Linked DNA regions of Drosophila melanogaster. The protein of the gene in region 4 interacts with the protein of the main gene of each other region in a pairwise test. Each region holds a gene or a part of one and is shown on either strand. Other genes may lie near its edges.

Region 1 (3,809 bases), on a different chromosome or scaffold from region 4:
GAACCTCTAAAAGGGCGTGATGGCTGAGATATGAATCCTTAAGCTCTTTAGTTCGATTTCTAGACGAAAGCCACAGTTCTTCAGACTTACAACTTATTGCGTTGTGAGACACTTATGTATATACCGTCTTCTTTGACAGCTCCAACTCTGGGACACCGGTGGCATGGAGCGTGTGGCCTCGGTCACATCCTCGTACTACAAGTTCGCCGAGGGAGCCATCCTGGTCTTTGCTTTGGACAACGCCGCTTCGTTCCACTCGCTGTCGCAGCACTTGCTGGACATTGTGACCTATGCAGAGAATGCCAAGATCTTCATCTGTGGCAATAAGAGCGATCTGGATGGCAGGGAGCCGGAGGTCAGCGATGAGGAAGTGGAGGCCTTCTGCGAGCAGTGCCACTCACTGATCAGTGCCACGTACAAGACCTCCTGTCGCAGCGGCGCCGGTGTGGAGGAGATGTTCCGTGACATCTCTAGGCAACTGGTCCACGCCAATCGCTCCAAAATGGAACTGCAGGCACTGGAGCACAAGAGCTTCCAGGTGGACACTGCGAGCAGCGGCGCGGCGACCAACGAGGAGGACGCCTCCTCCTGCGGCTGCTAGCAGTTGGGGAACATTGAGTTCGGCTAGGAACCCTTATTCCCGCCAGGCTCAATGCTCACGCAGAGATGCATTTTTACTGTTTCCTTTATTTATTGATAGCTTTCGGCTATGTTATGATTTTTAGATACGTACATGTTCAATTCGAATTTTTACGAAAAATACGTCCCGAACGCGAACACGAGTCATAGAGTAGGATTAGTTTCTATTAACCAGGCGCCAAACATTAACCACTTAAACTTTGTACACGTAAGCTAGGATGGCGGATACGCGAGTGATAGGTTAGAAATCTGCGGTAAGAATTAAAAAGTAATAGGAATTCCATCGATTAACAAGAAGGTCAATTTAATCTTAAAGGTAAAAGGACAACAAAATATATAGACATCGATTGACCGCAGATAACTACTCTAAGCTTCGACTCTTATTGCACGTAATACTCCATCCTATCTTATATAGATTAGTGCGTAATCTGCAGCTTTCTTCCACAGAATATCTCGTAAAAATAAAATATACTAAACAATAAATAATCAACTCACGAAATTGGAATGGACAGGCTTCTATAACATTTGAATTTGGGCTAAGATCATTGGCTATTGGTTTGCTAGCTAAAATTACTACGACGAGGCGGTGCTGCTTGAACTGGGTGCGAAGGTCAGATAGAGACTGACGCCCACGGCCACCACAAAGCAGACACCCACTCCATACAAGACCACCTTCTCCCGCAGGGCTCTTAACATCATGGTATTCAGAGTGCGAGAAGCTCTTCCCAGCTCGGCATTGGTTTCTCGAAGTCGAGCCCTGGCTCCCTGTAGAGTTTCCCTTTGGTGGTGCAGATCATTTAGGACCTGGGCGCCCAGTTGCTCCGTCTCCAAGGCCACTCTGTACCCTTCGGTTAACCTGTTGCCCGTCCGTTCAATCCTTTCCGAGTTGTCCAAGAGGCGTTGGCGTTGATCTGTACTTATGGACACATCCTCATAGCTGTCACCCAAGTCCAGAGTGGTGAATGTGTTGGCTTGGGAGCGCTGTTTGTCCTTGGTCAACCTGTACTCCGCCTGCAGCCGTTTCAGTTCTGCCTGGGCCACCTGCAGCTTTCCGTTGAAGCTGCTCCGCAGTCCAGGATTTAGCTCCCTCACCTCCAGACCCATCTGCTCCAGCAATTCCTGAGCCTCGGGCAAACTGGAGTCGATCTTGCTGCACAAATCATGGCGCTCGCCTGGAGTAAATGGACAAATGGTAATCACCATAATGTACAATCCATGGACAATCATCCCACTCACTGTTGTTGTTTTGCTGCTGCAGCCGTCCAATATGGGCCGTTATTTCTGCTATTAACGTGGCGTATTGCTGTTCGTATTGCTCCAGAAGCGACATTTGTGCGGTTTTTATTCTACCTTATTCAGTTGTTTATGGTATTTGTTCTGTTTTAGTTCGCGAAAATTACAGATTTATCGAAGAAAAGAAGTAAACATTGTCCAAGTGTGGCCGAGTCATGAGGTGAACAGTAATACAGCAATCTATAAATACTTTTAAGTCGTGGTCACTCTGATTTCGAGTCAGCGTTGCCATACTCATGTAAAAAACACTGCCAACTTCAAGGACTACAATATTCTCGTAAGAACTCAGATAAAACCAACTTCCGTTTTAAATACGTAAATAAAACACAAACATATCTATTATTTTATAAATTCCATTTTATTGTACTTAGAGTAATTAATAAATTAATTAATTAGGTTCAGCTTTATGCGAGTGGAGATTCTTTGTTAACCTAAGCAACTGTTTTGGCGGTAGTACGATTTAATAATACTACATGATACATATGTACACTGTTCATCACATTTATGTTTTGTGCTGTCCTGGTCCGCGATTAGAAAACTCTTAACCCTCGACCAGTGTGGCCTTGTCCCCTTTTCGGAGCACCAGTTCCAATTGGGACAGCAAGCCAATAGCCCGAAAGTTCTCCTTGAAGAGCACGAAGTCCTCCAGCGGTTTTAGGTACTCCAAGGCCTGGTGGTAGCTTTCCAACTCCTTCAGCATGCATAAAGCCTTCTTATCCTCGGGGTCTGGGGATGTGTGTCCATTGGTTTGGCTGCCGGAGGAGCTGGATCCATTGGGGATCTTTTTTGGCGAGGCGGGAGCAGAGGCGGGTTTGGTGGACGCAGCTCGAGCTGGTGCAGGTGAGTCCTTTCCCTTGGAAGAAAGGGCAGGCGTGGATTTGCCACTTGTTCCGCCTCCCTTGGGGGCGTTCTCCTTGCTGCTGGCACTGTCTCTTCCCCCGCTATTATTGTTGTTCTGCTCGTTGGGACTGGAACTTCGACTGTGCTTGCTGGTTAAGGTTGATTCTGCTAGCGGATATGGTGGTGAGTTCACCGCTGAGTTAATCTCTTGCACTTCGTCATCATCGGGTGACTCCATTTTGGGTCTCTTGGCCAACTGAACGGGCTGGAAGGGACTGGCCCGCTGCGGTGGAACATTTGGCGGCAATTGGGGCTGAAAGGGTTCCCTTTGAGGTGGCATAGTGGGTGGAAACTGTTGCATCTGCTGCTGCTGCTGGAGTTGCTGTTGCATTTGCTGTTGATGCCGCTCGAAATAAAAGTCGTTGAAGCTGGCGAACCCGGGGTGTGGAGTAGGATGTCCGGGATGTCCTGGAAACGGTGGCCATGGGTGGCCCATTTGATGCTGCTGCTGTTGCATATGTTGCTGCTGGAGGGCAAAGTGCTGCTGTTGCTGCTGCTGTTGCTCTTGATAGCTCTGCTCCTTTACATCCATACTGTCATCATCTTCTTCGTATTCTCCGTACTGTTGCATGTAGGTCATGTACTGCTCGGGCATCTCCTCCAGTTTGGCCACTCTTTCAGCGCTCGCGGGCGGAAAGAGATGGGCTAGGTCCTGTACGATGTCCGGGATCCACAGGGAGGATCCTAGTGGCTTCAACTGGTTGCTGGCTAGTTTTTGGGCAAAGCCTTGAAGATGAGTCTCTCGGAAACGGTTTAACCAGCGATTGTCTGCTATAAAGGATGTGCTCCCTATGACTTGTCTGGCATTCTCCGCCTTGTCCTTGATCATTCCGTGGGTAATGCTACCTCGCAGCTGGGGATTGATATTGGCCCTTACTAGCCATTCGTATACCACTGCATTGATGTAGGCGCACTTTCGGCTCCTCTCGATCTCCTCCACCATGGCCTGCTGCTCAACGGCCTCCAGGTTGGAGGGA
Region 2 (5,921 bases), 2.1 Mb from region 4:
TCAACACGGTATCTCTAGGCCGACGCACCGTTGAAGTGCACTTGCTTTTCAGTGCTTGTCCACGGATAATAACAGTGATTTATATAGTGTTTGTATTTGTCCCTTCTTTGCAACGAAAGTGGTTGGAACCAGCCATAAAAGTTATAAACATATTGATCATTTACTTGTTGAATAATTGTTTGCAAATATCAAGTTCCCTTGGCAACGCACATGGGCATTTAGCTTAAAAACATATGATTTCCAAAGATCATTTTTTAACTGCATATACGATCATATGCTTATATTTATAATAATTGAATACCAACCCGATTCGATTGCAATTAACCATCTTAAAATCCAAACATAAGTTTACCTTGAGGCCACGGTGCACCAATCCCCTTTAAAAAACGGCCATGGTAGAGAGCGCTTCTACAAATTCAGAGAGACTGTGGGCAATTGCCGAGCGTTGTGAAATCACTTATTTATGTTTGAGAGGCGGATCTTTCGGCGGGTGGCGAAACAATCTTCTTGATCGAGTTCTAAGGAGATAAAAAATAGGTTGGCGACTACCACCATAAACCAAAGTAGACATTATTTACATCTAATATGATGACCATTTATTGTGTTATAATTAGGGATTAGCATTTCGTGTTCTTGCCGATTAGTTGTTCTCATGAAACGTAAGCAAGGTTGAAAATCGAACAGGATTCACTTAGATAATGACAAACAGCATGCCCATTTAGTCCTCGATGTACTCAAAGGGCTCTGGGGGCTCCGGCTCCTTTTCCTCGTCGTTCATCGGTCCAAATGCGGCAACTGGCTCAACGAGCTCCTGGTCCTCTGCTTTGCCAGTGTGCTGGAATACAATAATTCCACCGATAGTGACATCCTTCAGCGGCTCATACGACTGGCCATCAATAACGCTAAGGACCTTCAGTTGCTGGCGAAGAACGCGGGCGGGATTCTGCAGGATTTCGGAGGTCGGCTCTGGCTCCTTCTTCTCCTTCTTGTCCTTCTCCTTATCCTTATCCTTTTCGCTGCTGGTGCCAGCTGCCTCCTTTTCCTTATCCTCTTCCTTTTTCTTTTCCTTCTCATCCTTCTTCTTGGGTTTCTCATCCGTTACCATCTTCTCATCGGCCTTGGCTTCTTCGTCCTTCTTGACAGCAGCACCCTCCTTGCTGTCCTCGTCCACATCCATCTTCTCATCCTCTTTTTTGTCGGCATTCTCGCGTCTCTTCTGGCGGGCGGCAATGGACAGAACTGCGGTGGCCACCTTCTCGCGCTCCTCGCTCTTCTTCTCCTCCAGTGGGGCGGGATATGCGTATAACGAGGGCTTGGCCGCCGACTTGTACTCCATCTTGGGCATTTTCAGATCGGAGTTCAGGCCGATCACACAGGTGGGTGTGAAGGCAAGGGAAAGGGTGTGGGCCAGGGGGAACCAGTACCAGTACTGGGTGAAAGCCAGCATGCCCACCACTGCCTGCAGGTTGGTGTGTCCTGTACGGGACTGCAGGGACAGAGTAGCGTTTCGGCCACCAGCATCAATAATACCTGGAAATAGTCAATGCCTAATTAGAAAGATCTGGAAAGGACGATTACTAATTATAAATCAATTCCTACAAAAATACCTATAGTCGTTCGCTTAGTTAAAAATGGAATATTTATAATTTTGAGTATCTACTAATCTTATCTCGAAGCTTGGCGGGAAAACTACGGAAACCAATGTTTAATAGATGCAAATTAACAAACTAATTAGCTTTTCAATATAATTGCATAAATAACGAAAAGGGATCGTGTTATATTGCTTACCCTGAGCCAAAATGGCACCGTACTTCGCCATCACATCTTCGTGCTTGTTGCTAATGACCTCGGCGTACAGCTGACGGAAGAAGGTGGACTTGGGACAGCTCTGGTCCGTGTGCTGAATCAGGATCATGGCAGAGGCGATCAAAGCTCCCTGGCGCACAAAGTTGACCGGATCGAACTTCACCATTGGCTCCAGCAGGGCAATGGCCTCACGCAAACCTGTGCCGGCACAGGCGATACCAAGAGCCATTGCGGCTCCGTAACGAACGTGCGGGTTGTAGGACTCTGCCAGAAGGCTGACCACAGAGGGACACTGCTCCGGAGAGCGGAACAGGATGAAGCCGATGGCTGTCACAGCAGCACGTCGCACATCATCATTTACGTCGGAGACGGCCACGTGTAGCAGCTTGCGGATGGCCTTGTTGCTACCAGTACCATTGTAGGCCATAGCTATGGTGTACATTCCCGAGCGGCGCAACACAGGATCCTTGTCGGAAGACAGGCTGGTCACCAGGGGGTCGGCCTCCTCCAAACGAGAGAACATTGTGAGGGAGATGCCCACGGCTAGGCCGCGTAGGATCTTCTCGTGCTGCGTCTCCTGCGCATACGACACCATGTCCTCGATGGCCTGGGCGTTCTTGGAGCCCAGCATGACCATACCCATGGCAATGCCCGCCGCCTCTCCGGTAACCGCGTCATCCTGATACAAATTAAACTTCAGCTGCTCATACAGATCCTGGCGATGGGTGCCCATGCCAGCGAGACCTAGTCCCAGGCAGCCGCCATGACGCACATTCTCGTTTTGGGCATCCTTCAGCTGTTGCAGCAGGTAGTCTATAATGTTAGCTCCGTGATTCGCATGGATCAAGCCCAAAGCATAAAGGGCACCACCCTCAGAGTAACCAGAACTTGGACCGGCCTCCTTTGGCAGATAGCTCTGCATGAGAGCCAGGGAATCCTTCTCGTGACCCCGATGAATTACTCCAAGCGAAGCGGTTGCCGTCAGCTTGGCCCAATTCGTGGCCCTGGCCAGCCAGTCGAGGTTGTCGCGCAGGAATTGGTCGGAGGTGGTGCCGCTGTGCATGAAGGCGTTGGCAATAACAGTGGCTGTGTGGCAGATAGACACGCGGACCGCTTCCTTTGTGCCTCGAAGGACCTGCAAATCGGCGTGGTTGCTGCGGATGAGGAATTGGAGCTGTAGGTCGATGGAAACCTCGCCGGAGAGGATCGATATGAGCTTTTCAATGTTCTTCTGATGCAACTTTTCAACCTCGTTAAGGGAATCGATTGTGCGCTCTACTTTATCATCAGCTAGGTGAATAAAATGCGATTTATAAGTATTTTAAGGGACTGGATTAGAAAACCGGGTTTACCTGGCGTCTCCTCTGTGATATCCTCGTCAGACTTGGACTTGTCTCCCTCCGACTTGGCACCATCCTCGGAGGTGGTACCCTGGGGCTTAAATGTGCTGGGGAGGGCGGTTGGGATAGGAGCGGTGTTTTTGAGGTGCTGCAGCACATTGCCCAGAAACTCTTGCGTGGCCGACTCGTACAAATCAAAGGCAATCTGATAGGCCATCAGATTGTTTGTCTCCACCGAGGACCGTGTGAGGTTGTCCAGCATCTCGGCTACGGCGAAGGGGTCCTCCAGGAAGATGAGGCACTGACACATATTCACGTAGTCCGGCACACCCAGATCACGGTACAGACTGACCAGACAGCGCAGCACCTCATTGCGGAAGCCACGGTTCTGGATGAGGGACATGGTCACGTTGTAGGCGTAGGCCAGCATGCCACGCACATCGTCCGACTTCATGATAGCGTCCTTGAAGGTGTCCATGCGACGGGTCTCCAGAGCGATGCCCAGAGCCTGGCGGAACTGGTTGTCGTCCAGACAGCGCTGAATCATCCTGTTCACAATGCCCTCCAGCCGCTCGTCCACGACACTCGCCTCCTTAGGGTTCTCGATGAACTCCACCCGCTGGGCAATGTAGAAGTCGATGCACTTGGCAATGATGGTCTCCGTGTACTCATTGCGGGCATTCACGTCGAACAGATCACCAGCGCCCAGGGCGTACGTCAGAGCGTCCTCGAAGGAGCCCAGGTGATAGAACACCTTGGAGGCCACCATGCCAGCTAGCTTGTTTTCGGGGAAGCTGCGATCCTCGTGCAGCATCTCGATCTTCTCGATGGACTCCGAGATCTCCGGCCAGAACTCATCCACGATGTTGTCCAGCTTTTTGAGGGCGAACACCTTAAGATCCGGCATTGGCTCATCGAGTAGGGAAATTATCCCCGCGGCGGACGTAAGACTCATTTTCCAGCTGCGTTGTTTCCAGTCAAAAATATGTTCTACGGATTTTAAAGTGACGTATGTTCAACTTGGGCTCGAAAACTTTACGTTTGCTATGAAAACAAATCGTTCTTTTGCGTACTAACCAACAATTGCACCGTTTTAATTTTCAGTTTTCTTTTGTGCCGAAAAAATGCTAAATCACTCGGTAAGCAGACAGTGTTGGTAATGGTTGGTTGCTCGATGTCTTGCTATCGATGTGTACCGATGCATCGATATTGTTTGAGCCTCCCTCAGACAATTTAAAAATCGCTGTTAATTTTCTGTATGTTTAAATATGTATTGGACATCAAATTTTAACAAAATTGAAATGAAATGTAATACATTTGGAGCATAGTTTGAAATTAGTTGTGAGTGACCAGGTTGTTCTGTGTTGTGGTACCTTTTTGCCGCCTTCTTACCACCTCCACTTCTGGGCACACTGAGCATCGCATCTACAACAAAAAACGCGCGAAGGTTTGCGCAGAAAACGCAAAACACCGCCGCGACAACATCCTGGAGCAGCGGACCGCATCATACACAGCACAGTAAACAAACGAAAGATAATTGCACAACATGCTCTGCGAGGATCAGCACATGTCCGTGGAGAACACACCGCAGAAAGGCTCCGGCAGCCTGAATTCCTCAGCATCCTCCATTTCGATCGATGTGAAGCCCACCATGCAGAGCTGGGCCCAGGAGGTCCGCGCGGAGTTTGGCCACAGTGACGAGGTAAGTGAAGGTTGGCTGCTACGATCGGGAACACAATTAATTCTCTTGTTTGCACGTGCAGGCCTCCAGTTCCTTGAATAGCAGCGCTGCCAGCTGCGGTTCCTTGGCCAAAAAGGAGACAGCCGACGGTAATCTGGAGTCCAAAGATGGCGAGGGCCGGGAGATGGCATTTGAGTTCCTGGATGGCGTCAACGAGGTAAAGTTCGAGCGCCTGGTCAAGGAGGAGAAGCTAAAAACGCCCTACAAGCGCCGACACTCGTTCACGCCGCCCAGCAACGAGAACAGTCGCTCCAACAGTCCAAACAGCAGCAACTCCTCGGCCAACGGAGATGCAGCTGCGCCCAAAGGCGGCAACAATCCCCATTCGAGGAACTCAAAAAAGTCTGGCAACTTCCGCGCCCACAAGGAGGAGAAACGGGTGCGCCACAACAGCTACACGTCCTCCACCTCATCGTCATCCTCCTACACCGAAGCCGATCCCGCCATCCTAAGTCGCAGGCAGAAGCAAATAGATTACGGAAAGAATACTGCCGCCTACGAGCGCTATGTGGAAATGGTGCCAAAGGACGAGCGGACTCGCGATCATCCGCGCACCCCGAACAAGTATGGAAAGTACAGCCGCCGCGCCTTCGATGGGCTCGTGAAGATCTGGCGCAAAAGCCTCCACATCTATGATCCACCTACACAAGCGCGCGACACGGCCAAGGACAGTAATTCCGACTCGGATTCTGACTAGGATCGAATCTTGTTACCGGGCCGGGCTATGTTTTTCAAATATCGGGGGTTTAACTACTAATTTTTATTTCAAGTACAAAGTTAAAACTATGAATCAAACACGCATCTTCGAGTCACAAGGCCGTGTACGGGGAATTGTTACGCAGATGTTTTGTTGAATAAAATGGCGTCTTACAAGATCCTGGGTTTTCTGTCGTTTGCTACCTGAGGAAGTCCTTGGTGATTCGAAATTTTCCGGACCGCCGGCATTTTTACTGCGCGTGCTGTCCTTGTAATAACGTCTGCTCTTAACTAATTTTGATTTAGGGTAGAGTTATTGTGAAAAGAAAAGACAGGAC
Region 3 (7,541 bases), about 23 Mb from region 4:
CCTTGGCCTCCGGCAGTGACGTGGCCGACGATTGATGGGAATTCCTGGTTGTTTGCGGTAGGCTAACCGACATTATGCCCAATGCACCTTGTTCGTTGGTGGCGCTCTTTGTTTCCAACTCTTGCGCTGGCAGCTGGCAATTTTCGGAGGTAGTGTGTCCCTTGGTGGGCACATCGGTCACCTGACTTCGGTTTAGGCTGCGCGAAGGAAGCCGCCGATAATTGACCAAGGAGTCGAATGTCTCCTCCTCCTCGTTGAGCTTCCACATGACGCGGCGACTGCTACTAGACATTGAACGTCCAAACCCCTCTTCTGGAGCAAAGAACACACATAGTTTTAACAACTTAAGGATGCCACACTCGGCTTGACTCACCCGACTTGTGGTTTTTATCCATGGAGATGGCTTGAGTTTTCCTCTGACAAATTAACTTCGCCACTGGCCTGCAGCAGTTCTGGTTTTGAATTTACAGAGCTTACAAATTTGGGAGGCCTGTCTGTGTGTAGCTGAATAATATCTGAAATTTTGGAGGCACAAAACGAAATACACCTATCATACTCGAAAAGATCTTATTGAACCCACGGCCTACTAATAACAGATTCCTTTTTCTTTTTTTCGATCTTTAATATTCATTTTCATCGAGTGTATATGTTCTTTTAAATATTGTTGTCGTTATTTTATTAACTATCCGTTTTACACGCGCTTTAAAAGTATGTTAACATTTTGCGTTTAACGAAATGACATAAATATTATACAGGTAAATTATTCAACGTAGGATGTGGCTTTGGTTTTCTTTCAGCTTCTAGCTTCCAGCTGTTTGGTTTCAGTAAAATTATTTCTTTTGTTTTAAAAGCATGAGATTTGTGGACTGTTGAGAGTTTTTGTTATCGATTTGTGCGTTATTTTGCTATGAAACCACACAAAGGTCTTATCAAATTATTACACAATCTTCGGTCTAGCTTAGAAAATGTTTGTGAACATTAGTGACTAGCATTGGAGGAGCTGCAATCCTCGGATCCTATCAGGCGGGGATAATTGAGCGTGATTTAAAGGGCGTTTCGAGTTGCCAATAGGCTGAATTGGGGAGAAGTGTAATGGAGGGTTTTCGCCTAGTTTTTAACACTCTATAAATGTTTTATATGATTTAGCTAATTTGTTGTTCGCTTTCTAGTAAACGGTTGCCCGCTCGGGTTTGCATTGTTTTTAGTGACGTCTTGAAAATGTTATTTACGCTATTTGCTAGGTTTATATAAAGTAGTTTCATTAAAGTACACACATGGTCTAGACTTTTAACTGGGCTTAATTATGTTGTTCTCCGCCTTTTGAATATTGGTATGAACTACTAAACGCTGACTCTTAGTGGTAATGAATTTTTTTAATGGCCTTTCGGCCATTTGTTTTTCATGATTTTGATGCTGACTAGATTTTGTGAGACATTCCACTGATTTTTTTACAATTCTTTTTAAGATTCGAGCTATCTGTGAACTATTATAAATTATTATTTCCACACATCAAATTTGTTTTTCGGCTGTTTTTCGATATTTTTCTTTTTACAAAAAAATTTTCATCTTAAAATTGTGAAAATTATTCAAGTTTTAGGTTTTGCTTGTTGTCTTATATTGGTTCCAATTGATGCTTAAATGTTAACAATTTTTGTATATAAAACCGTTAAATATATGTATATAAGAGTGTGTGTATGTTATCATAAACCTTACTATACATAATTATTAATATGCTACATATGTGTTTTGTTTTGTTTTTTTTTTCTTTCTGTTTGGTTTCTCTTCTCCACGGCCATGAGCAATTCAGCTGCCTACTGCTTTTCAAATTCATTAAATTTCCTTACACCGCATATTATCCTTTTTCGATCTTATAGATTGCTAAACTTTCGCATGTATATTTGCTGCTAGTTGGCTGTTGGATGTTTCTGTCTATATGGCTAATCATAAGTTACTGGACGACACAGCGAGAAAACGAAGACGATGGCATACCACACCTCGGTCAGGTAAAGGGCGATCTGCAGCGTGCACAGGCAGTACTCCAGGCGCAGTCGGTAGGTCTGGAGCAGCAGTAGATAGGAGACGCCCACAAAGCAGGGGGCGGTCATGAAGACCGACAGTATGGCCGACCAGCCTGTGATAGAAAAGCAGAAGAGTTCATTAGAATCTGATTGTAAAAGCCATAGATACTATTCTATTACAATTATAAATAAGGATGATAATGAGTTAATTAGTATTTCTTAAGTCTAATGGTTTGGTTTGATTAAACGATTGATAACGCCATTGAGGATGATTCTATTGTTTTAGAATATCCTATAATTAGACCAGCCAGCAGGCGGGAGCTTCTACCTCGATCGGCCAGCGAACTCATGCGCCCCATTATCAATCGGATCGTCTCAAAGACAATGAAGCTAATCATCACCCCCGTGTCCAGGGCTAGAGTATGTCCCGTGTAGCTGAGATTGATGGCCTTCAGGAGGCCCATGGCCATCTCGCAACAGGCGAACATGCCAAAGTAGAACGAGTTGAGGTAGATCAACACCTCGTAGTTCATGCTGGGATTTGGCTTCTTCGGCACGAGCGGTGGCGGACGCTTGGGCGGCATCTTTCTGCCGGCTTAGCACCTCCTTCTGCTGCTTCTCCTGTTACCCCTCGATGTCTACGGCAAATTGGACCGATTTGATCTCCCGGATCGCTCACACGGCGGCGTTGCTCACGTTGGGCACTGTATTTATAGACTGACCATAATAATAACGCGAACCTGCCGTGCTTGGCCAATGCAGCGGCAGCGGCATCGACATCGGCGGTCTCACGGTTTGTCGCTGCGAAATGTGCTGTTTATTTGAATAATGTGCTGCTGGTCGTTGTCGCCTTTTATTTGTTTTCTCTGCTCGCTGTTTGGGTCAGCATTGGCCGGCAGATCGCCTGCCTAGAAATGTGGGGGAGAATGATTTCACTGGCGGCTAGTTGGGGGGAAAAAACTACTAAAAACTCCCTGGGCGTTATGCTCTACAGGGCCCAGGGCCATTAAATGGTTACCTTGAAATTCAGGATAGGTTTAGGGTGAATATATGAAAACCATTGTTGGAATTTTAATTATTTTTAAAAACTCAAAGCGTTATGCCTCGCTAAAGTCCCGTGAATCTCTCTCCTGTGAATCGTACAGGGCATGTTCACTAGACCAAAGACCAAACGGAGAGCCCTCTCATCTTGGCCATTACAGTCAGGCTAACTTGCCCGCAGTGGGCCGTGTATATTACATTCAAATTAGAAGTGTACATTGCACCTAGGGGACAGCAGCGGTGTTGCACGAGCCGTGCAGTTCGCATATAATTTTAGACCATCAGAGCCGTATAAAAATACCAGAACCGAGCGGGTCCGAGGAGCAACTGCGCCAGCAGGGAGGCAACGCCACAAAGGCCGGGCAAAAGAATGCAACCAAGAAATGCAAATTAAATGCAGCTTTGCTTTTGATAGAATCGGACGCGTCGTGTTTCGCTGCGATGTGATTTCCGCGGGCGCGAATGATCTGTGCGGATTATATAAGTTTATAAAGGTTCACGTACCTTGTTGAAAGTCCTCCTCAACTGCCAGCCATTGGGTATGTTATCGGGTTGTCTTGGCACGGATTCCTAGGAGGTCTAGTAGGATCTAGATTTTTTGTTTTGTTTTTATGTGCGGTGGCTTAGTGTGCATTTAAGTGGCTTAGTTTTGAGGCCTTGGCGAATCGTTTGATGTGAAATTGCCAGAGGAAAGTGTTTCGTCTTCGTCGTAGTCGTCGCTCGGCTGTGGATGCTTCTACTCCTTCTCCTCCAGGTGGGAGTGTTAGTGCTGGCTTGGTCTTGATCTCGATCTTGGTCGTTGACGTGGCGGCGGCAACGCGGCTTATCAACTGCTAGGTGTATGTGACGGGGCGACACATTGTACAAATGAATATGCTGGCGTAGACTAGTTCAGCACCTTGTAGGGTGATCATTAAGGCACTCAGAATAATTTCGAGTTTGAGAACAAAGGTTTGAAAACAACACAAGTAGATAACAATAGCAAGACTGGGCAGTGTTAATATTACGGATGCGGTTGCTTGCCAGCCTGCAAAGAGAGAAAAACAAGGAAAATGTTAGCTACAGATGCACGGAAAATCGTATAGTTCGTCTACTTGTTTATAATTAAGTGTATTCGATTGAAAGTGATTCAGTGTTTTAAAGTATTATACTAATAATTTCATGTTTACACATTGCGATAATTAATATTAACAGCTCCAATTGCTTTTCCAATAACTCATTTCGATGATTCGCTTTGATAGATTTCCTTTGCATATTGCTTAATGTGCCAGAAGGGCGCCTTTCCCCTGCCACCATAAAACGCGTGTTTTCATCCGGGGTGATGACCATAATTACGCATACGCCGAGTGGGCTACATCATACATATATGTATGTATGCCCGTCCAAACGTTTATGGGTTATGGCCCCGGAGGTAGGGGGATGGCATGAAATGGGCATTGTGACCGGGCAAACAAATAATTTCGCCATGTCATCATCGCTGCCGGTGGACTTTTCCCACCCTTGCAGTAACATGGGGATCATGGGGATTACTCACCACGATCGCTTAGACTGCTCTTCCGCCCGAAGACAATGCGCACGGTCTCGATGATGCACAGTGAGAGCAGGATGCTGGCCTCCCGGGACAACGCGTTCTCGCCGTAGTTTAGATTAATCGCCTTAAGAACGCCCACGCCCACTTCGAAGGCGGCGTACATGCCAAAGTAGAACGAGTTCAGATACATAAGTATCTCATAGATGAGGCTGGCGTTCATGGTGCCCGCTACTGCGGAAACGAGTCCGTAACCGTTGCCGTATCCGTGTCCTCCTGCGTGGCGACCAGTTCCTCAAGGCGGCAGGTGCGTCGCCTCTAAATGATTGGATGTCACCTGGGCAGTTTGGAGCAGCTCCTCCCGCTTTTCCACTGGCAGCAGCAGGTGTTTCGGCTTCTCTACGCCAGCATTGGGACCTTTGGGCGGTACGTGGTGAGTGATACCTGCTGGACTGAAAAATATTTGCTAATTGCGGTCTGCTCGTATTTACCAATGCGCGCATACATACAGTCAAACTTCCTCAACTAGAACTTCATAAAATCAATCGAATTTATAGGTGGTTTTGCTGTGCCTATGTATCTACATATGTACATTGTATGCATTTATTTACTAGCATACCGTAACGGTAAATTCATTAAGCGACAATAGGGAGTACATATACATAAAGGTTTTAGGTTCTTAGAACCCATTTTCTTCATCACTAAAGGACACTTTTTATTGTAGTAGTAAAGTCGTATCTACTTATGGAAGTTTGACTGTATTTACGTATCGTCCTCACCTCTTCCACTGCTTTTTCTTCTTGTTCCCGTTCTACTTCGCCTTTCCTCTTCTTCTAGCTGCTCCACCGTTACTGTCTAAAGTCCCGTTGTCATGGGAGTAAGTGGATGTTATGTTATGTATATGAAATGCACGCAGGCGACAACTCTATGCTAATATTAAGTACATGCGTTCACGTTTATTTATACGCGTTGTTGTGCGTTGTTGTTGCCCGCTGGCCTGGCTGGTTGTTGTTGTTGTTGGTTTGTTGGCAAGAGACGAGGGGCTTATATAAAAAGGAAAGGAACCTCAAACGCACATGCACAAATGTGGCCATGGGCGAGTAACGGAGAAATTGCCGATTGCATTTGGAAAATGTGCGAGCCTGCGAGTTCCGGTCACACTGGAAATCACATATTATCCAATTGAGTTTTTCATTCGCTAAATATGTTAACATTTTCTAACAGCATCTTTTTACAAAGTACTCGTTTTTTTAACAAAATGGCTTTAAAATGGCTTTAAACATTGCAAAAATATTGTTATACAGAAAAAAGTTTATGTTCAATATATTAAAGCCCGCTAAGATCGTGCCATTAAAAACAGTACATTTGAGTTTACCGCCAAAGGTGCTGTTAACTGGACAGCTGATAACCAAATCGATAACTTTATGTTCGATACGTGCAGCGATAACAATAGTATTTAGAATCGAATCAGTTGTGGCATATCTATCTGAATTTATTGACCTATTTTGGTAAAATTGCTTAATTTACCTCAGGTTTTCTGGCTTTTCGCAATGCCGGCCGATCAAATTCAATACTCAGAGAAGTACTTCGACGACAACTTTGAATACAGGTACGTTCAACTTGCGTTTCAGCATCCGTGAACTGTTTGTTTACACACAAACCACTTTCCCTCCCTGCAGGCATGTTATCTTGCCACCGGATTTGGCCAAACATGTGCCGAAGGCTCATCTGATGACCGAGACGGAGTGGCGCAACCTGGGCGTGCAGCAGAGCCCCGGCTGGGTGCACTACATGGTCCACGCGCCGGAGCCGCATGTGATTCTATTCCGACGCAAACGCATTCCGGCAGAGGACGCTCCACAGGTGGCAGCCGCTAATGCGGCTCAGGCCATCGCGAATCTCTGCGGTTAGGCGGAGGATGCCATGCCGCCGAGGAATGCTCTTCCAAGGACGCACTCGTCAATGCTCACGTAGTATTTCATAAGTTAGCATCAGGCAGCCTGATGTAAAATAAGAAACCATAGCTTTAGGGTTCAGCTGGGAAGTTCAAAGACACGAAACGAACTGAAGACATCGTTTCTGTTAATTTCATTAAGTTTATTTACCTAAAATACAAATCGAAGCGTACGCCCTGTGTACAGACAGTTTAAAAGTAGTGTTTAACTAATTGACTAATTGTAGCAGCGCCATACCGCCGGCAGCAGGCGATACGTCCAACTCTCGTTGCTTAGGTTGCAGTTCTTTAGGGCGTAATGCTCCATGGCGTATAGTGAGATCAGCGTGGCATTTCCCAGGATCAGAGAGAACCACAGAAAGATGTTGCCCATCACTTTTGGAGCACTCCGCATTAGGAATACCAAGGCAACACCCACGACCCCAAAGAAGAAGAACATCACTGGGAAGAACATTTGCAGGGCAAAGCCGAGAACCTGCTCATGGACCACAGCGGAGATCATGAACACTGCCAGCGAGGCGGCCACCTTGGAACCTCGGAACACATGAGTGTACATATCCTTGTACACGTACTCGTACAGCCAGTCGTGCACGACGACATTCCAGTTTCTGTAGTAGCCATCGTAAGTGTGCGACGTCCACCAGTCCTTGTAGAACATTCGATCACCGAAGCGTAGCAGCTCCGACGTGAAGTTCAGCCACGAGTGCAGGATTAGGTAGAAGCCGCACAGAAAGATCACCGCGCTGGGCAGCATCATGCCGAACAGCTTGAGGATCAGCTGGGAGGGTCCCATTGGTTCCAGTCCGTACTGTCCGAAGTGCTCGTGGATGTGCCGCTCATGGATGAACGCGTACAGGAAGGCTATGGCCACCACCTCCAACAGTCGATTCAGGGCAAACTTCCAGCGGATGTGGGAGGTGCGCGGGTAGCTGTCTCGGTAGATAAGCGTGGGTGCAAACAAAAAGTACGTGTAACAGCTCAGCGGCGGCACAAAGGGTCG
Region 4 (4,111 bases):
CTAAATCCTCCCAGGAATTCAGTTTGAAGCAGCTTATTGGCGACGGATTGCTGTGGGCTGTTCCGAAGCACAGAAGATCCGTGGAGAAACGCCTGAAGCGGAAGTTCGGATATCCGGAATACAACTGGAAGCCTTTGAGGGAGAAGAGAAACCTCCGCTCCTGTCTGCAATGTGGCCATGACCACGAGATGGGAGTTCTTTGTCGTAAGTAGCCTTAAAAGTATACAAAGAGGTAGCCACCTTTAATGTTGCTCTTCCAGCCTTCTGCTACCAAAAGGTCCTGAAGGAGACTGAGCTCATGCAGTCGAAAATCCAGGAGACACTCGGTCTAGATCCCGTGGACAAGGAAGTAATCGTTCTTTATGAAGGCGAGAAGGCCGAACAGTCCACAGATGATCTGAAAAACAAGCGCATCGTGGAGATGAAGAAGCCTCGTCCCATGTGGTTCACCAAGAATCTGCTCCAAAAATCCACGCAGCAGCTGTCCGAAACCAAGGAAGTCAAGCCCTCCGACTTGGCCTAGATACTAAGCATCCATTGTGCATTAAATCCACACGTTCGTTATCAAATCGATGCTATTTTATTCTCTGTGAAGGATAAGGACCTTGCTTGCTTCAGGAATCCGTTGTTAAAGTCCTGGGCACTCATAGGTTTTCTACCTTCCACGCGTAACTGAAGCACTTCCAACTGACTCTGCTGAGCACATCCGATTATGAGGGATCTCGACTTCCTTAGGTAGCTGATGGCACCAGGTTCTTGGACGGGAACTCTCTTCTCCGGTAATCGCAACTCCAGCAACTGCACTTGCTTGCCCAAAAAGTTGGTTGTAAGGTTTTTGTAGCCATACAAAGCTCGATGACGAGTGTATATTTCAATGGCACTCAGCTCGGACCAGATAATTTCTGTGATTTTACTGGTAATCTTGGGAGCTGAAGGCAAAAATATAGTTTATATAGGTTCTCGAAGTGCTTAGATATGCTTTACCATAGCTGACCCTTGAACTATCTTGGGGTTTGGCTTCCTTAAGTCTTACTGATAGGTTGTTAATAGTATCCACAAGTAACTCGGCTCCTAGCGACGCCAAAGATGCATGCAGATCCGGCATGAAGACATCGGGATTAATAGCCACTTCTCGCTGAGCTAAAATCTAAAGCATAAGTCGTCAATACTACTGCATACAATGGTAAGATAAGAATGAACTTACATCACCGATATCGAACCGGTGAGGTTCGATTTTCATGATGGAAACTCCAGTGCTGGCATCTCCCTTCATGATGGCGTATATGATGGGAGCAGCTCCCCGCCATTTGGGTAACAAACTAGCGTGAACATTGATCATCCCATAAGGAAATCCATTGATGATACTACCAGGAATCAGGTGGCCAAAGGAGACCACCACACCCAGATCAAATTGCGGACACACAGAAGGATCTATGGGCCACTTTTGCAGGGGAAGCTTCTCCTTTTCCGCGTAGGTCCTCACACAGTTGGCGGGACTTTTGAAGGAGGTAACAACTCCCAAACGATCACTAAGAAAAATATTCTTATTAATCCAATTTAACATTATTGTTTAAAACATTTTACCCGCAGTTTTTGTGTAGCGCCTGTAAGCTGGGCAAGGAAAAATTGTCGGTACCGAAAAAGAGAATTTTTGGAGGGTGGTAAGTTCCCTTGCAGCGCTGTGCAATTGGGATTACATTCTGCCACACTTTTCTCTTATATTTGTAAAAATTATTGACTAAACTCTTGCCGCAAAACATCGGAAAATTTGTTGGATAATAATGCAGCGTAAACAAAAACAGCTGTTCGCGATACCAGCTGGTCACTCTACCAAATAACGTAATAGGAATGCTGAGATAGAGTGAAACCTGTTGAACCTATCGTCTTCAACCATGTAAATGGTGGTCTAACTTTATAAGATCAAGAGTCGTTATTTTTGTTTAAGTAATTAAACTTAGCTCAATACATTACTTTACTTTTATTTATCTGTCTTCAGTGACTATAGACTATCGGTATAGTGTATATTATTTTTTTAAGTTCATCGCACGGTCATACTAATGAGAACGCAATAAAAATTTGGAAAATCAAACATCTACAGGAAAACGTATATTTTTGGGATCAAGTGCCAAGGAACTCCAATACTGCAGAATGGAGGCATCTGCTGCCAAAATCACGCCTATGGCCAGTTCCATGTCCGCTTCCGGATCCACAAACTCCCCCTCCAGTGAAAAAATGAACTACGCACTGCAAGTGGCGCTGCAGACGATCAAGGAGCGGTGCATCCAGCTGCAGCGCCGCGTGGCCAGCATGGAGGAGGAGAACCAGCAGCTAAGGGAGGCCTCCAGCAGGTCGGAAGGTGCTCCAAGGGCAAACGAAATCGGGGTCACTGGGGACGTCCTCTCTCTGAAAGCACAGGTCTCTGAGCTGCAGCGCCAAAAGGAGCAGCTGGAGGAGCACATTGGCATGGTATCCAACGAGAACAGACGGCTCTGGTCCCGCCTATCGCAGATCTCCAAGGATCAGCAGCTGAACGCACTGCCCAGCTCAACAGACTCGCGAGCCCAGCAAAACCAGAACCTGGTGCGCTCCAAGACCTTTACGCAGCACTCCCCCAATCCTCACCTTCGCCAAAAGATGCTCTCCGACGGCATTAAGGATCTCAGTCTGGAGGAAATAGCCCTGGATGACTTCGGTGCCAGCAGTGAGGAACTAGGTTACCCCTACAACCTGCAAAAGGTGGAGGAAACCACTAGTGAACCAGATGCCAATGTGGATGCCAAAAGATGTTTGGATGGACTGCAGGAGCTGAGGCGAGAGGCCATGAAGCAGCAGCAGGAGCTCAGATCGGTAATGACTCTGCTAGAAAATCGCATAGGTAAGCAACAAAATGGAATTCATGCTATAAAAAAAATAACTTTTAACGCCTGTTTTATGTGCAAGCAGCACTCAAGCCCTGTCCGGAATGTGCCCAGAAAACCATCAAAAAACCGGAGATGGCCGACAAAAGTCTGGAAACGGACGACAGCCTGACCAGCGAGCTGAAGAACTATGAGAGCCAACACAATGGACACAATGGCACGCCGCCCAGCCAGAGAATTAACATAATACAAGAGAAAATCAAAGCAGATGCAGCCGACGCAATGGAGAAGACCTGCCCTATGTGCGGCAAGCAGTACTCCAGCCAAGTGTCCTTCAATGCGTTCCGCGAGCACGTCGAGATGCACTTCATCGACGATGCACTGGAACTGGAGTCGGAGAACAGCATTGAGCGCCAGTTTGAGTTCGTTTCCCATGCTGTGGGTGACTTCTGACCCAGTAGGCGCATTTATTTCGCCACCGAACTCTGACCTGACCGGAGAAATCCAAGGATTAAGGAGCAGTTTGACTGCGCAGGAGCCGCTTGTTACGTTTCTATTGATAAGACGTTAGGGCGATCATGTATCAAAACTATACAACATTGAACTTTAAGAAAAAATATATATATATTGTATTATAATTGCGGAGAGTGCATGAATATATAGATGTAAGTGACCGAATACGAAATACAGTTTAAATGAAAAGCCTGAAAACATGTTGAGCGCTCTCTTCGGTTGGTTGGAAAGTGAAATCGTGGACCGTGGACAACATAAATATTATATTATTAGCGCTGACAAATATTGTAATATCAAAGATGACGATCGATGTTACCATCGCTTGTGGTCATTATCCGATCTAATTGGCAGCTTTTCTGTGAGTCACACACTTTGGGGGAAGAGTGGAACATTCGACAAAGAAGTTTGGCTTGAGGCCATTATGCTGTAACTGGTCAGAGGATTTCCCTGTTTTTTTGGCTATGACGTAGTCGAAACCCGACTGGCAACGTGTGCCTAATCGGGCTGATCCAGTCATTCAATGCGAATATTTGCCAAAATATTGACCATAAGATTTGCCATTGATAGCAATACAAATGCAAATGCTCAGAGCTAACTTTCTTTTAATGCATTTGGAGTGGGTCGCAGCAGGAATTTAGCTTAAGGAAACATTTTAATTTGCCTATGCTAATAAGTTTGATAAATAAATATTTTTAAGACACAGGCACGTGGCAGCTCCCGTGGATACTTTATTACGTTAC

The links.
Region 1: the proteins of spn-F (region 4) and Vti1a interact in a two-hybrid assay, tested with the Drosophila melanogaster proteins (one large-scale study listed by BioGRID).
Region 2: the proteins of spn-F (region 4) and Rpn2 interact in a two-hybrid assay, tested with the Drosophila melanogaster proteins (one large-scale study listed by BioGRID).
Region 3: the proteins of spn-F (region 4) and TMEM216 interact in a two-hybrid assay, tested with the Drosophila melanogaster proteins (one large-scale study listed by BioGRID).

What each region holds. Positions count from the first base shown.
Region 1 is NT_037436.4:690,810-694,618, forward strand, and holds Vti1a (vesicle transport through interaction with t-SNAREs 1a), read right to left. Parts: upstream 2,111-3,809; 5' UTR 1,970-2,110; coding exon 1,876-1,969; intron 1,812-1,875; coding exon 1,213-1,811; 3' UTR 677-1,212; downstream 1-676. Other genes in the region: RabX6, read left to right, coding at 140-601; CG13894 (uncharacterized protein), read right to left, coding at 2,474-3,809.
Region 2 is NT_033777.3:29,151,911-29,157,831, reverse strand, and holds Rpn2 (regulatory particle non-ATPase 2), read right to left. Parts: upstream 4,309-5,921; 5' UTR 4,224-4,308; exon of another isoform or gene 4,137-4,223; 5' UTR 4,102-4,136; coding exon 3,159-4,101; intron 3,097-3,158; coding exon 1,789-3,096; intron 1,531-1,788; coding exon 719-1,530; coding exon of another isoform or gene 692-718; 3' UTR 577-691; downstream 1-576. Other genes in the region: Slbp (Stem-loop binding protein), read left to right, coding at 4,693-4,848, 4,910-5,584. UniProt on the Drosophila melanogaster protein: Acts as a regulatory subunit of the 26S proteasome which is involved in the ATP-dependent degradation of ubiquitinated proteins.
Region 3 is NT_033777.3:8,714,394-8,721,934, reverse strand, and holds TMEM216 (transmembrane protein 216), read right to left. Parts: upstream 5,693-7,541; 5' UTR 5,367-5,692; intron 5,040-5,366; 5' UTR 4,811-5,039; coding exon 4,594-4,810; intron 4,087-4,593; coding exon 3,893-4,086; 3' UTR 3,564-3,892; exon of another isoform or gene 3,479-3,563; intron 2,738-3,478; exon of another isoform or gene 2,603-2,737; coding exon of another isoform or gene 2,347-2,602; intron 2,132-2,346; coding exon of another isoform or gene 1,938-2,131; 3' UTR 615-1,937; downstream 1-614. Other genes in the region: CG8136 (uncharacterized protein), read right to left, coding at 1-312, 374-395; CG11760 (uncharacterized protein), read right to left, coding at 1,938-2,131, 2,347-2,602; Cks85A (Cyclin-dependent kinase subunit 85A), read left to right, coding at 6,138-6,196, 6,267-6,498; CG8112 (uncharacterized protein), read right to left, coding at 6,759-7,541.
Region 4 is NT_033777.3:31,253,095-31,257,205, forward strand, and holds spn-F (spn-F), read left to right. Parts: upstream 1-2,032; 5' UTR 2,033-2,148; coding exon 2,149-2,875; intron 2,876-2,943; coding exon 2,944-3,311; coding exon of another isoform or gene 3,312-3,347; 3' UTR 3,348-3,565; downstream 3,566-4,111. Other genes in the region: mRpL32 (mitochondrial ribosomal protein L32), read left to right, coding at 1-204, 261-523; CG1750 (uncharacterized protein), read right to left, coding at 565-929, 985-1,147, 1,205-1,529, 1,585-1,760. UniProt on the Drosophila melanogaster protein: Plays a role in oocyte axis determination and microtubule organization during oogenesis. Also required for polarized organization of the bristle. Required, with jvl, for activation of the kinase IKKepsilon in the germ line.